Drosophila melanogaster: one gene and its partners. Changing the gene in region 3 together with the main gene of any one other region gives a genetic interaction. Each region holds a gene or a part of one and is shown on either strand. Other genes may lie near its edges.

Region 1 (5,369 bases), on a different chromosome or scaffold from region 3:
AAAGCAAAGACGACGCCAGCAGTTGCAGCAGCCAACAATTGCGTTGCTGAAGTAGGCAGTTACTCTTGCAGTTGTGTTTCAGCTTTATGAGCGACAATTAAAGTTAAATGCCTCCGCTTCGAAGCTGCGGATGTTACTCGCTGGTTATACTCAAATGCATACGTGCACATGTTTTGGTTTTTGTTTTGCTTTTCGAAAATAAATACATTTTAATGACTACGCTCAGTGGAAGTGGGATTGTTTTTTGTGGTTTAGGAACACGTTAAAATGAGCCAGCCAACGAGAGAGTTTAGTTTAAAAAATCAGCATTTTGACAAGATTCAAATTTTAGGCGCACAGCTCTGGAAAGATTCAGTGCAAAGATTCGGACAAAACGTAACGAAATCGAAATAAAAACCGAGCCAAACACAAAGCTACAACAAAATGCAGTGCTTTTTGGCGGCGACAAAAAAGTACACACACACAAAAACCAAAAAGGGAAGAAAAACAGAAACAGAAACAAACAAAATAAATAAATCAAAAGGAGTTCAACGACCAAAAGTTTAAATGATTTCCGACTGCCAACGAAGAGAAAGAAGCAACGCCGAAATCGCTCACCAGTCAACGAGGGAACGCGATCTTGGGGAGGTGATACGAGGACGGTGATAAGGCCAAGCCAATTGACAAAACGCTCCCCACAAAACATTTGAAACATGCTGCTGCGAAACCAGACACAAATGCCACATTGGCGTTTAGAAGATATGTATGGAATCAGAACCATTTCTGAAAACCGAAACATAACTTAAACATAATCGACAATTGTGCAGCAGATCGGCAGAGAGCACCGTCCATATTCAAGATTAATTTCCCCGAGGGGGTGGTTTCGGTTTCGGACTCGTATCTGCATCTATATCTACATCGATGCAGCCAGGAAGCTGTTTTCGTTTGCTCAACCGCCCACGCGCCGCATGGAAAATCAGCAGCTCTGCTACTGCGGCGCATCAGCCGCCATTTGCGGCTGATAAATGAACGCATGTTGTGCGTATCTGCCAGATACAAATGCCTGCAGTTCGTTGCGGCCTTTGCTCTTCCTTTGTTTCCATTCCACTGCTGCCTCTACTGTGCTGCGCATTTTTAATGAGCGGAAATTAGTTGGCATTGCGGCAAGAGGTTTTGTGGCTGCCCATTTGAGTAGATACAAATGTATCTGTAAGCCATAAATTTGCAATCTATGAGGCACGTGCCTCGTAGGCCCCTTACAAGACTGGCACTTTGCTGTTCTGTACAATTATCGGAACGATTACCTGTCAGATAAATTCAGCTCAATCGGCTATTAGCTTTTTCCAGATCTCGCTGAGCATTGCAGATTTGGTTCATACGTTTATCATGATTGGGATGGGCTGCATTCTATTTGTGTCTTACGGATCACACTTTTGGATCACTTTTTGGCAGTACAGCGCGCGTGTATATTTAGAGAATTTTCTTTGGCTCAGACTTGGCACAGCCAGCCGGTTCGCAGATACACTTTTGCATTTCCCTTTATAGTTAGGCAGTGCATCTAAGAAATACATTTGGCAGCTTGCATTGTTAAGACGCTTAATGATGCCATTAAATACGTCGATGAAAAGGGGACGGGGTAAGCTGCTATTGAATGTCTTTATGGCGTATACTAAAGGTGTTTATGCAAAAAGTTTATTTTTTATTATTGTTAAATAAGTCTTATTGTGTTCCTTAAAAATTTTAAGTTTTCAATATATTTCATAAATTAGATACGACCATCGTGCCTGCCTTTGCATTTAAATAAACCTCAAAAAATCTCAAATTACGACTAGAATTTAGAACTGTCGAAGAGCAACGTACTTCCCTATCGCTGCAAAATGCCAAACTTCAGTAGTGTGCCCACGACATGCACTCACCTGTCTGATGACTCCGACGAGTCGTACCGATCTAGACATCTCTTCTTGGACCCCTTTGTGCCACGTTCTCCTCCAGTTGTTCTTGGGGCTGTTGCCACCGTTGTTGTTTTGCCGACTCCCACTCGAGATGTTGTTGCAGTCTTCCTGGCGCCCTGGTAGAGCTGAGATCGCAATGCGTTTATATCCAATTTGGCGGCTTGGGCTCCAAACCCGCCAAAAACTCCGCCCACCCCCCGTTTGGTACCCTGCACGATTCCAATAGTGCTGGGCGAGGTAAAGGGCCGAGCGGGTTTGGCCGGGGGCTTCAGTTCAATATTGGAGGACAGAGACGGGCTTTTGTTGATGGGTGGTGTGGGTGGTGGGCTTTTGGGAGTAAGTATCGGGGAGGCGGTGGTTGTACTGGCTGGTGCTGTTATAGGTGGTGTGGCTTCTGGGCTACTGTTGTTGCCGACGCCGGCGCCAATTGTCAAACTGTTTGTATTGACGCTATTTTTCAGCTGATCAAACAGTGACAAAGCCGCGCTGGAGGTTAAAGTTTTCCGTCCCGTTGCTCCTGCTGTTTTGACAGAGAGTGGGGCCAGAGGGGCTGCTACTTCAGCTGCCGACTCCTTGGTCTTTAATGCCGTATCCTTTGGCTGAGTGACTGACATTTTCCCTCTATGTTTGCTGCACTATTGCTATAACGACGCTTTTAATTGGTGTTAACTGCTGCCAGAACTCTGGATCTGCTTTAGCACACATCTGCTATTCCCAACGGCTTATTGTTAGTCGACGGAAAGCCAATTTGAATTGCATTAATCTGAAAGTTGCTCGTCAGCAATTTTTAGCCGCACTGCCCTTAAATGGTGTTACCATTCCGATTTTCCCCATCAGTTTGCACAAATTGGTATATATATATCGCCATGAACTTGCATTTTACGACTTTCGTGGGTCGGACTATCGAGTTACGAGAAGTAAAAATATTTATACAAATTAAACAAAAATTCATTTAAATCAATTGCACTTGTATGACTTTTGGCATTAAGCTGCACTTCACTTCTGCACTTATGACACACATTTTTCAATTCGATTGATATTTCAACGAGAAACTACTTGATCATCATAAAATTAATCGACGTCGCGGGTTCGGTTTTGATTTGCGTGGGGTGGTTGGATTTGCGATCCGTTACAAAGTGTTACACTGTGCTTTATGGATTTGTGAATGGCCAGTAGTTATTTCACTGTCGGTTGTTTCCGGTGCACACCCGAAATTCATTCTGCAAGATTGGCCACGCGGTGCTCGCAAGTTCAAGAAAGCGACAATGAAACCGAATTCAAAACCGAAACGGGTAAGTCAGGTTAACCTCCTAGTCGCTGTGACTGCGAGCCAGCTTTTGTTTATTGACAACAATGACGGGCGAACAAACACATCGCAATCTAATCAAATGCATTCCAATGTGCCTCAGCAAACTAGCGATTTACTTATCGCGGGGCCAACTTGTCTGCCGCGCGTACCATTCATAATTAATGTAGTGGTCACTGCTCTTAATAGCCGCCAATTGCAGTATAACCAAATTAAACAAAGTCTAAGAAGCGCTGCACTGCAAGCTAAGAATTCCGAAACGCCATCGATTGGCAAGCGAAAAACTGCGATCTCCCCACGAAAAAGCTGCGGGCTGCTCTTGCTCTGCCTGCCGACTGACTGACGAGTGGGGCCAAGTGGAGTGGGAGTGGACCGAGCGCTGCGGCCCCACCCGAAGAGGTAGCCGACGAGAAGCGAGGCGGCGGACCGAGTGCCAGCCGAATGGCTTAGCCAACTAGAACCGGGCACAAATCAAGATACGAAGCACGCGAAGCAAGAACGAAGGCAACGAACTGCCGTTCGTTTTAATAGGGGCTCTCCGACGAGCTGAGGGTGAAGAGGAGAAGAAAGGGCCGCGTGCAGTGTGTTCACTTTTGATTTCTGTGCAGCGGCAGCAGGTTTTCGAGAGCGGGACCAAGAGAGAGGGTCGCGTGGGGAGCTTGTTGCGCTACAATGTGAGTTCTTTCTGTGTGTGTGAGTGTGTGCATTTGAACTTCTGGGGAAGTTCAGAGATTCCGTATTTGAATTTCAGCATTTGGCGGCTGGCTAGATGGGCAGCAACTTCCGATGTGTCCGCGGTGGCAAGTTCGCTCACACACAAGCGACCCAAGCTGCAGCTACCTGTTGATATGTGTGGGAACTAATCAGAATACAAGAGGTTCCTGCGGTTCGATAAAACTCAAAACCGGTTCATCCAAGCGAGCATGGTTATATGGGAACTTGAGCTCGAATTTGAAGCTAAATACAGATGTGTGGAGAATATGCACCCATAACCAATACCTTGGCTATATGTATCTGTTTTGGCCCACACTTAATAAGGCCAAAAAAGTCAAGAACAAAAACAAAAAAAACACGAGTCTTGTATAAAAAAAGATAAAAGTAAACAAAGTTATGGCAAAAACCAAACAATAACAAAACAGCAAGGCAGCCAGACCAGCTCTCTCACAAACACAATCTAAAGTCGCAACTGTTTTTAAAGACCAAAGAAAGGGAGGGAGCGAGGAATCAAACACAACACGTGCTTTTATTACGCTACAAGCAATGGTACGTACGTCTGTGCGATGCAACTGAGGGAGACTGCAAAAACAGGAGGGACAAAGAAGACATGTTTACGCGAGAATTTTGCGGGTGTGTGCGAGTGCGACAAAACTCGTTTGGTGTCCAGTTTTACTCTACCAATAAAATGTTTGTTCCTATTGAACGTTTTACACTGCACATACTTGGGATCACTTTAATTAAGTGAATGAATTCATTTCCGAGGAATGCATCTAATACAATCAAAATGTTTTAGCTCACAAAAGCTCTGCAAAAAATAGCTCACTCAACCATTGTAAATGCAAAAATACACTGCGTAAGAGTGACAAGTTAAATAAGTTTATAAGCTTGCGTTCGCATTTTGCGCTGCATTTTCCGGAAAGCTATTAAACTGCAGCAAACGGAGAGAGAGAGTGAAAATAGGATTGAGACAATTGAGAGAAAAACAACCATAATGCTGCATTCATACTTCGCTGAATATTTTTGTAGATGCATATACATATGTGTAGATAATATTAAATTAAATTATTAAATATAAAAATAAAATATAATCAAACATTTCCTCAATAAAATATCTAAGCTGGCAATTATACTGGAGCCCATCACAATTAAAAAAAAATTATGGGTCTTTTAAATGCTCTCAGTGTAAAGCTCAGATTGCCACAGCATACAGCTTTTGTCAGCGATTACGTCCAAATAAACAGTTATGCCTTTTCAGTATTTTTATAGATAATTCCAAAATTACATAAGTGGGCATGTAAACTAAGTAAGGAATCAAACCAGTTTAAAATTGATAGCGAACTGCATGATGTTCCTTGACCATCAACGGGAAAATTGGTTAACCAACGCAAAGTCAGTTTAATTACGATAAAAAAATA
Region 2 (5,617 bases), about 16 Mb from region 3:
TGGTTGGCATTTCCAGGGTCCAGCGAGGCGGTATCAATGTGGATTTCACCCAGTGCAGAACCACTGGTTTGACCACCCGAGGTGGGTGCACCACCAGTACCAACCACCATTGTACCGCCAGTGGCGGCAGCACTAGTGCTCTGCACATCCTGCAGAGCTGCCGTCTGGACACTGCTATTCCCGGTGGTGTTGTGGAGATTCATTACAAAAGTGCTGCCGTTGAATCTTGGCGGAAGCTTGCAGCCCCCTATGCCATTGGCCATTCCCCCCAAGGAAGGATCGTCGAAGTTTAGGAGATCCTCAATGCGGGGACTCAGTCCTTTACGATTTCCATACGGGTTGTGATCCATATCCAGGCGGTGTACCGTCCGCAGCATCTCCAGCTCCCATCCATCGCCATGGGTGCCCAATTCCAGCTGCGAGTCCCAGCGATGGAGCAGGTAATCGGGATTATAATGCAGCAGACTCAAGGCCAAAGCCAGCTGCAGCATTTTCATAGCGTACGATTTTTTGTTTGAGATCATTTTGTTGCTTTCAGAGGTTTCGATACGTGAGCGAATGGGTGCGTGGGTGACTCTTGTAGTCCGTAGTCCACCTCCGCCCGCCGCCTCCTCCTCCTCCTCCTCCTCCTCCGCTGCTGTTGTTCTTGTTGTTCTCCGTCCCGGACAACAGCTCTACGGCTGCGTCGTCCGGGATCTATGCGTTCAATGACGTCGCCTTGCCCCGCCTTCCGGCCTCCTCCTCCTCCTCCTCCTTCGGCGTTCCGAAATCTGCGCAAAAAGCTGAAAATTCGCAGTTTCCACGGCCTATCTCCCCGATTTTCCAATGCTCTTTGCTTTTAATTGATGGCTGTCCTCGGTTTTGTTCTGTAAGCAAATCAAGATGTGACAACAAATAGAATGGAATTAGTAAGCATAACGATTTGCTAACTATATGTACATATGCAAGTATGTAGATATGTAGTGTAATATTCATACATTGCCGCATGGCCATATATGCAGTTTGAATGTTAAATGAAAATGCTTTTGTTTCGAGTGGTGCAGCCTTTGTTTTGTTTGCCAGTCGATTTTATAAATTGCTAAGCACGAGGAAGTGCACCAAAGAAAGTTCAACTTCCGGGTCGGTAACGTCTTTTATTAAAAACACATCTAATTTCCACATCGCGATTATATTAGGATTCATATTTATTTAGCAAAAACGAACACAATTATGTTTTTCTGTTCGCAATTATGTAGTTAAGGTACATAAGTAATACTTTCGAGAGATATTAAAATAAATGAAAGATTGTCGTAAGGAAACATCCCTTATCTCTATTATTTAAACTTGAAATTATAAATGTGCAGAAACACTAACAAGGTTTTGCTACAGAAACACAACACATAGTTTGTTTTCATACCAAACCAAAGTGGATAGCCTAGAAAGGCTGTTATGATGATGACCTAGCGCATTTCAGCATAGTTAATTTCATATTCAGAGACAATTAAGCAGGTCAAGAATCGAATTTTCCGAAATATGTGTGTATAATACATAAATACATATATGCATGTATCCTTCTTTGGTTGTTGTTTTGTCCGAATTCTGTTTGATATCCACAACGCATTTAATATGCCCATCCTGTCCAGCCACACACACACCCCCCCCCCCCTTAAACAAGGTTAACAGACAACCGCCCACCCGAAAAAGGGGGGCGTGAGGCGGAAGGAATGACCCAGACCCAGACGAAATGGCTTTGAACTTGAACTTGTTCAAGGTCTCTCGCGAGCATTTGAAATGTGCGCAATGCGAAGTGAAGCACCCGATTCAAGGACGGACGAAAAAATTGTGTGCAAAATTCTTTCAAGGTTCGATATAAACTTTCTTTGTTTAAAGCCATTTTAACAAAAATCCAAACTTTATTTGGCTCAATTCTCAATGAAAAGATGTGCGCGAGAGAGAGAAAGAGAGGGGTAGGGAAATGACGTGTGCATGTGCGTGCAAGAGAGGGTTCTTGTGTGGGTGTGCGTGTGATTGTGGCTGTATTGCAGTGCACTCACCTCAAATTTTTTTTGGATGATGAGACCCGACTACAACGGTAAAAAAGCTGCGGCGCAGTAAATGTTCTCCTTGTTGTTGTTGCCGTTGCTTGATCTTCTTTTCCTCTTCGCTGCTTCTTCTTCCCTGCAGCACACACAATGGTTTATTGTTTACCGTTCACTTTTCTTTTGCTCTGCAAGACCTTATTTGTTTATGTTTCACTTTCTACGATTTTTACTTTTAATTGCTGGAAAACACGCGTTTTATTTATTTAACAACTTTAAATATATATTTCGCTTGTCTGCGTCCTTGAACTTTCTCTTCTGCAGACAATTTGCATTCAAGTGCCATTAAATATTAATAACAATTGATATTTGATTATGTGCCACCTGGTGCTTCTTTCTCGCCGTCTGGTACGCACTTTTGTGTGAGAGTGTGTGTGGTGGTGGTGCCGTTTTACGTGGTGAAATCGTCACTTATTTGTTAACCCTATATTGGACCTACGTCAAATTAGAATTTGAAGTCATTTGTATGTTAAGATTTTCAAGACAGCTGTAAAATTATTTAACTACGTTAAGGTACAAAAAATTGTCAAGTCCATCAAGGGTTAAAACAATAATATTTTCGCTTCGTTTGTTGTTTTTACACTGCCTAATATTTGCATGTGTTTTGCCTCCACATTGCTTTGTATTTCTTTGTTTTCTTTTATCGCCCGATTCTCGTCTCTCTCTGACTCACACACCAAAAAAAAAGACACGCACACGTTGAAGCATACAACTGCTGTTTTTTCTTGCCAATTCCAATTCGGTCTGTGCCCACAATTAATGCAATTAATTAAATGCAAAACGATTTAATTTTTTGCTGAGAATCGCGGAGAGCAAAACAAATAGGAAAAATGAAATATGGAAGCTTCGAGAATGAGCAGAGAATAACCGGCAACGGCAGCATTTCAACATTCACTCTGCACTTTGCATCAACAAATTATTTATCAAATTGCTAGTTCCTTTTCGTTCCCTATTCTTTCTAACTCGATGTTTTTCTCGATTGCATTCTGTCAGCTGAGCGGTGGAGAGGGAGCGAGAGAGGGAGACTGAGCGCGAGAGCGAGAGGGGGCGATTGCTGAATAACTGTTGTTGCTAGCCTGTTGGTCGTTGTTGTTTTGATTGCCTTTAACCCACCACCCCCACCGACAGTACCACCACCACACAATGAGTTGCACTTATTTAGTGGGGCATGCAACATTTCGCAACTGTAGTTCTTAAACGCACAACCGAAACTTTTTCATTTGTTGTTCCGGCACACAAGCACACGCAGCCAGACACGCACACACACACACACACAATTTAAGCGGCGTGTACTTCGCACCTTTACGCGTCTTCTTTCACTGTTATTTGGCAAATTATTGTCGCGTCCGCTTTGCTACTCTCTTTCGCCAACCGCCGTACCTACGTGGTGAGCTTGAAAACGTGTTTTGTTTGTTACGCCGCGTTTGGCAATTTCTCCGCCGTCGAAATCAGTCGCGATTTTCGATTGCGGCCTCAAAACATTTGAGGCAAAAAACGTCTGTCCAGCGCGGTGCTTTTATCAAGTGTGCCCAGTTGAGGCTCTTTGCAGACGATTTTGTTGAGTTTTGTGCTTTTGCGGTTTTTTTCGGGGCCGCCAAGTGCGGTCTCACCATAATACATTGTGCTTTTAACAGAAATGTTAAATGTAGCTTAAACTAACAGTGACAGAAAGAGCTTTTTAAAGGAGAGCTAGAAATGTAGATTTCGGTTACAAATGTATCTTTATTACCTACCTTTTATTTCTAGATTTAGTTTTTAGAAAGAATATCTTAAGAATATAAAGAACATATTTATATTTTCCCTAAGAGTAACTTATGTAGACATGGTGGCTATTGCAATTTTATGTAGATATGGTGTAAGCTTATAAGCTTTTGACACGTGTCCATGCAAATTTTTCAGTTAATTTGCATTAGTCATTTTTTTAACTAGTTCTACATAACAAAGTTGAAATTTGTATTAAAATTAAAAATAAAGGGATATATATAGTTTTATATTTCCTTAATATTAATTTAAAATAATTTTTTTTCATGATATTGATATTGATATTCTACATGCATGCAAAAATACAAATATCTTAACAATAACTTCCGTTAGCTATTGATATCACAAATGGATACATTTGTATTAGACTTGCTCAATAAAACAGATAGCCACACTATTCAGAACGTGTAATTCAAAATATAGCTAGAAGACTATCAATCTATCTAAAAGACCTGCTCATAAAAATTAATTTAGATTGATGGGGGTAATTTATAGATATATTGCGTTCTGAACTGGGAACATTTGTGCTGGCATTTGGATAAAGTAATTAACACCGAAGCCTTTCAATACTTACCAGATTGGTAAAATGGAAGCCACCTTTCCAAATGTTGGTCTTGGCGTTACCTGGCGTCGTCGATTGGGTGATGGATGGCGTTGGCTTGGCCAGTACAGCGGGCGTGGAAGCCACCGTGGGCTTAATCAGCTTACTCAACTTCGAGGGTGGTCCAATGGGCACCCGGACGGTGACCTTCTTCTTCGGATTCAGCTGCAATTGGGTCTGGTGGTAGGTATATTCGATGTCCTTCGCCGGGGACAAGGATTGCAGCCGAGGCAGATCCTCTAAGTCGATCATTATTGCTTATCAGCTGGCACAAATGGTGATGAGTCAATATGTCAACTGGAATGAAAGCGAACACACAGATAAGGATGGGTCACTAGGTTGACTAGGCTTTTTTTTAGGATGGTGGTTTTGAACTTAATAATTCTGTTCCGACATTAAATATAAACAGTTTGTTTTCGGCGTATAAGAAAATGTGTTTTTACTCATTTTGATCAATGTGACAGATCAAAGATATAATAAATTCATATATATTTTAGTAGCCATACTCGTGTGATTTTATTTTTAATTTCTTCGAATTCCCTGCTAGTAACTTTATCGAACTTTCACTGTAAATGAGCTATAAAAACTGATAAGCGAACTTCGACGGGTGGAATTCAAAAATGAGATATAGCCAACCTAATGGTTTGTTTTATTTGCCATTTATTGAGAAAATTACACACATTCACACAAATTCAAATGTAGATAAGTACAGTGGATGCCCAACAACAATATCAACTCCCACGAGAATCCAGAAAGATAACCGCGTGGAAACGGCATTCATTATCTATCAATTGATTTGGGAACAAAGTATTAGGTATCAGTAACCATAGAGGGATTTCTCCATTGTACACAATACAGTGGGCCCTGCCTTGGAAGAATGCAAATTACATCAGCCAATGTTCCACAGGGGGAATTTTTCGATTAGATTGGGACAATAAATGAATCATAAAATAAATTAAATTGGTCGCACTTCTAAATTTTGGGAATCAGCCATGAGTCCCTGCTATAAATTTAATCGACAGGTTCTTTATAGAAATTGGTCAAAAGATTCGTACTTATTTGTTAATCTTTTCTTCTTTAACTATTAAAATCTATGGTGTTAGCAATTTTAAATGACATTTCTATTTATAAGAAATGTACTTAATTGTGTAGACTAATCAATATTATAATTTATTTG
Region 3 (5,375 bases):
AAAACTGAAAGTAAAATACCACACAACGATATACTTGGTCAGAGGTCATCCCAAAAGAGTAATTCTGCAGTAATAAGTTGCCATTAAAGGTACAAGAAGGAAAATAATAAGAATCTCATGATGTACGTGACCTATTCATCTGTATATTAAATCAAACAAAATAGATTACCTCATTTCGAACGCTTAAATGAAAGTAAAAATGTATTTGAAATACGCCCCTAAGCTTCGCACAAACACTAGATTCCGATAAATACACAAATACAAACCTCATTGCCATATGCCATCAGATGATGTGTGGTTATCAGCGACTTGTAGACGACGACCCAGTTGGCATTCTGTGAACGCTCGATAAGTAAATTGGCCAGATGAGGTATCGACACATTCGGCTCGTTTGTGCAGTGCACCAAATCTGCAATTAAATAAAGGTATGAAACTTATATTAACACAAAGCAACCACAAACTAATTTAACATTTTACATTGATTTAAAATAATAAATGAAAATCATTTTATTAAGCATAGCTTTATATTAGTTTCTTAACGCATATCCATACAGTAGATTAGAAAACAATAAAGAACGTTTTTTTTTTTTGTAATTTTCGGTTAGTGAACCATTTGCTCTTTTCCTTAATTTTGTACGTCCAACTCAACTTTACTTTTGGTTGCGATTAACTTTGACTTGATATTTATTTTCCCAAGCATTTATTGGAAAAATCAATCAGATTCGATATAACCGCCGACAACTATTAGTTATTATCCTCTAGATTTATTCAACAGTATATTTTTTTTACGAAAACTTAGTTCATATGAGCAAAACAACAAATGTTTACATGTTTAAGAAGCAACATAAAACTTTAAAAGTCAATTTATCTGTTCCAGAAACAAACAACGTTTCTGTAAAGATTATTATTATTATAATAACCGAACCTCCCATAAATTTAATCATCTTGTTTTTTGCGTCCCGTTATCGGTCGCGACTCTTAGTCGTTGTTTGCTTATCTGCGCTTTAAGCTTGCAGCCGCCATTCAAGCTAAATACTGACGGAAAAGTGTCGATGATAAGAGCTGAATCCCATTGTGTCTACTATCATGCGCTTCCATTTGAATCAATTCCCATTTCGGTTGGAAAGTGTTTGTCGCCGAGCAAGAAAAAATTGCATGGGATTCGAGGGGCGTTGCACATTTCACAAGCCATCGCAGATGTTCGCCGTCCTTTTGCTTCATTTTGTTTGGCTGACGGGCGCCAGGCCAGTGATTCATTTATACATAAATAAGAACAAATTTCAATAAACAGTAAATGTGGAAAATTGATCGGTCCTTGTAAACGAAACTGGTGAGTTTCTTAACGAGCACAGTGGCCTGGGGGTGTCACTTTATGACAAAACGTTGAAATCGCTGAGTAGTTAAGACATTTTGAATGAGTTATTTAGTTAAAATTCGTATCCGCCCTTTTTGAAATCTTCACTGATTCACATATATTTCGAAAATATTTACAGTGCTCGGATACCAAAAGCGATTGGCGACTTCTGTAGCGTAGTTATCGCTGGGGTCAATTCGCATGCTTATGCTCTTAAATACATAAATAAATAAATGTGTCGGGTATCGAGACTCCACTGTAGTGGGGGACCATTGATACTTAATTTTAATTATTATTGCCCACTTGTGTAGCTGGTTGAAATATTCTGGGATCTTTTCAATCGGTGTAAAGCTCATTAAGTGCTGTTGTTTCCGTGAACACACAACTGGTTTTATCATAGGACAAAAGTTGTTAACAAAAGAAAATAGAGAAAATAGGTAGAAGAAATATATTTCATGCTACCTGCTGACGTCTTGTAAAATGTACGGACTGACTTTTAACTCAGGTTTAATTTATTTAGACTTTTGGTAACTGAATTGAGCATAACGTTTTGGATAAAGTAATCAACTTGAATAAACAGCACATGTGGCCAAATTTTGGGTTATATTGGAAATTGGTTTGCGGCAACTGCAATACAATGTTTATGTGACAAGTAACGCCCCACAATATTGCCCTCTTTTATTCCCATTTACTCGTAGCCATATCTGATGAGTCATCTGAAAAGTGCCAACAAGCTAAATAAAAGGGGGTCAAAATGCGAGCAAAACTAGCCAAAAAAACAGATTCCAACGGGAATGAATGTCGTTAGGATATGGAGCTCTTTAGAAGTATTTGCAAAATTCAAACGTGTAAGCAAATCCAGCAAATTAGGGAAGACTCTTGCATAAATTTAACAAGCAATGACACCGTGACAAACACAATCCCTGCTTTCGTAGGCGTTTTAAGCCATTCAAAGCCCCTACAAACACACGTGCACCCGTGGGAAAGTGACGTAACATTAGAGAGAGAGAGAGAGTGTGTTGGTAGAAAGAGAGGGGAGTCCAATCAATGACGAACGGAGTCCACAAACACCAGCAGCTGAGCCACAGATGCAATTTGAGGGTGGTGGTTTGTGTTTGTGGGACTTTGTGGACCGTAATCAGTGGTTTCGTTTTCAGAAAACTTTGTGATTTATCGCACAAAAACAAAAGGCACGTGAAAATGGAGCGAGGAAGCCAAGAAACCCGAACTGGTTGCATCTGAATGTTGTTGCTAAATTACTTTTGCAGCGTACTAACTGTGCCGATGGTTTTTATATTTAGGCTACATTTAAATTTTTTATTTTCTTTGCTAATTTGTTAGGCACTCCTTACTTTAGTATATTATTCATTCCAATTTTTATTATTATTAAAATTTAAGTTAATTTCTAAACAGATTTTATTGCGACTTATGTTTGCAAATAAAAATAAATTAATTTTAAAGCGTTACAAAGTAACAATAATATTTTCGTGTGTTTGATGGGTACATTTCCACTAGTAGCACAAGGCTGTGCCTCTTTTCTCTCTGTGTTATAACAAGGAAATGTAACGGTGATTTACGCAATGAAAGACCAAGAGAGTGGGCAAGGGAAAGAGATAGACAGGGCAACTCACAGTCCAAGTGCTTCTTCTTCGGGCCAATGCATTCCTCCGTGGTGGCCTTGCAAACGGACTTGGCGAGTCCTTGGCCCGCAAGGCTGTGACGGGCGGCCAGCAGCCTGTCGTTGATCGTTTGCCCTGCCATGGTCATGATGAAGCTGTTGCTGTTGTTGTTTCTGCTGCCGCTCGCTGGTTTTTATTTACTTGATTAATTTAATTATGCACCAAAGGAGCTGACCACACCGACACACACACACACTCGAAAGCAGATACAGAGAGAGGGAGAGAGAGACACACACACACACGCGTATGGGGCGAGCGAGAGACAGAGAGGTATTGATTGATTGAGAATATTTCGAACGGGAAAACTCTGCTATGCGAGCCTCACGATTAAACTAACAGTAAAGATTTAGTGGTTCCTACGTCACAATCACTACACAATTTATCGCCGCGGTTTATGCGCTCTCTAACCGGTGCCTAACGCTGAAACGCGATTTTTTAATTCTCTATTTTTCCTCTGCCACAAATCGATAATGGCGACTGGCAAATGGAGCGAGCGTATGAGCAATGTCCTAAAGCGTCCACAAAGTGGAGCTAACGCGTGCAATCGACTTGAGTTTACGGCGTTAGGTGGGAAAATATCGATTGCCATAACGTAAGCGAATACGAAATAGCTGAACTTAGCTTTTACGATGTGTTCATATAAGTTCTGAAAATAAAAAAAAATAATGATAAATAAATAAATAAAAATATAAAATATTAAGATACTATAAATAAATCTTTTTTTATAACTTAGCACTTAAAATTCCCCAACAGCAGTTAAAAAGTAGCTAGATTTGTCGGAAGTGTAGCCAAACGTAACGTAAGCTAAGGGGCTGTCAACAGGAATTTTTAGTTTCGAGTAGGCGGTCATACTGGTCATTAAAATAAATAAAATTATACTAAAAAACAGTAGTTAGCACAATCAACAGTCTCGTAATAAAATTGTAAGATGTTGAATGGACAGATTGCACACAGTTATTTGGAGAACTCGTGCACGCTGATCATACCCCGCCCGCCTGTCCTGAATCAGTCCTCAAAGTCGGCCCAGCCAGCAGCAGCTGCTGCTGCTTCTTCTTCCGCTGGTGAGGAGTTTGGTCAGGAAGCGGGGTCGGGGTTGGCGGAAGCGGAGGCGTTGCATGTGGATCGCATAAGAAACTGCGATATATTCGTTGACGCGCACGATCTTTATTTCTACGCAGATGTTAAGCTGTACAAGTGAGTCACATCCGGCAATCTGTCGTGCCCATGGTGGGCCATGGTGGCGAAATTCCAGCGATATCATTGCGTACTTGTACTCCCTTTTCGGACAGATTCCACAGCCGTCGCACCTTCGACTTGCGAGAGCTGAAGACGCTGTTGATAAAGTTCAACACGACAGAGAATCACTACCAAATTTGCCTGCGCTGTCTGCCCCTAACAGCGGGTGCCCAGGAAGGACCCGGTGGAGAAAGAGGCGGAGGCGGTGGTACGGGGGATGCAGCCAAGCAGTGGAATAGTCGCAAAGAGTACATAGCCGCATTCCTGCACCTACCCACACTGAGTGCCAATTTGCCGGACAAGCAGCCTCTGGTGCAGGAATGGAAACTCAAACGAATCACCGATCAGTGCCAATTGCAGCTCGACGACCACGAGCGCACCTACAAGCTGACCAACAATTTTGGGTACGGCTATGCTAGCGAATACAGCGGACCGCTAGACCTGAGTGAGGTGAGTTCAATTGGTTAACCTGCTCTTCCGCGCACTAAACACAGATGTTTTCACAGTTGGACAGAGCCACGTGCCGCGTGTCGGAGCCACATCGCATGAGCCCCATCCAAAGGCGGCAAGAGCGCGTGGTCGATGAGATGAAGCGCTTTTCCCGCGAGCAGTACAAAATAAATTTTGTGGAGCTACAGGTTCCGTCCGGTCACCAGAATCCTTTACGCTACAAACCGAAAATCTACGAGACTTCCATGACCCAGGAGCAAGCGCATCTGCTGCACAACATCAGCCGAATGCAGACACGGGAGCAGCAGCCGTGCGACGTTTTTCGGCAAAACGAGATCGATTGCGGGCTGATAAGCATTCTGTTGGCCATATGCTATGATGTGCGGACGACGAACAATGAGCCGACGTGTGAATCGGGCTGGACGCGAAGCATACTGTGCCCGCTTTATTGCTACTTTGAGCAATTCGACAACTATCGGGACGTACTGGTTGCCTTCCTGCGGCGAATGATCACCTACCCGCTGTACCGCAATTTCGAGTTGGGCCGCCAATGTGTACGGGATGCCATAGAAGTTTTAAAGGGCGGTCGCAACTGGTTAATTAATCAGCTGCTGCTAACGCACCAGCAGTTCGCCAGCAGTGATCCCAGTCGCGAT

The links. Genes that interact genetically often act in the same process or in processes that back each other up.
Region 1: of lap (region 3) and jing, changing one enhances a phenotype caused by changing the other (phenotypic enhancement), as found in Drosophila melanogaster (one study listed by BioGRID).
Region 2: of lap (region 3) and cnc, changing one enhances a phenotype caused by changing the other (phenotypic enhancement), as found in Drosophila melanogaster (one study listed by BioGRID).

The regions. Positions count from the first base shown.
Region 1 is NT_033778.4:6,500,215-6,505,583, reverse strand, and holds the start of jing (jing), read right to left. Parts: upstream 3,579-5,369; 5' UTR 2,546-3,578; coding exon 1,896-2,545; intron 1-1,895.
Region 2 is NT_033777.3:23,218,384-23,224,000, forward strand, and holds the start of cnc (cap-n-collar), read right to left. Parts: upstream 3,579-5,617; 5' UTR 3,463-3,578; exon of another isoform or gene 3,379-3,462; intron 2,514-3,378; exon of another isoform or gene 2,261-2,513; 5' UTR 2,034-2,260; intron 867-2,033; 5' UTR 525-866; coding exon 1-524. UniProt on the Drosophila melanogaster protein: Plays a role in posterior cephalic patterning. Probable subunit of a heterodimeric regulatory protein involved in the control of head morphogenesis.
Region 3 is NT_033777.3:7,185,158-7,190,532, reverse strand, and holds the start of lap (like-AP180), read right to left. Parts: upstream 3,540-5,375; 5' UTR 3,122-3,539; coding exon 2,986-3,121; intron 410-2,985; coding exon 267-409; intron 1-266. Other genes in the region: CG10055 (uncharacterized protein), read left to right, coding at 3,962-4,227, 4,323-4,719, 4,776-5,375. UniProt on the Drosophila melanogaster protein: Assembly protein recruiting clathrin and adaptor protein complex 2 (AP2) to cell membranes at sites of coated-pit formation and clathrin-vesicle assembly.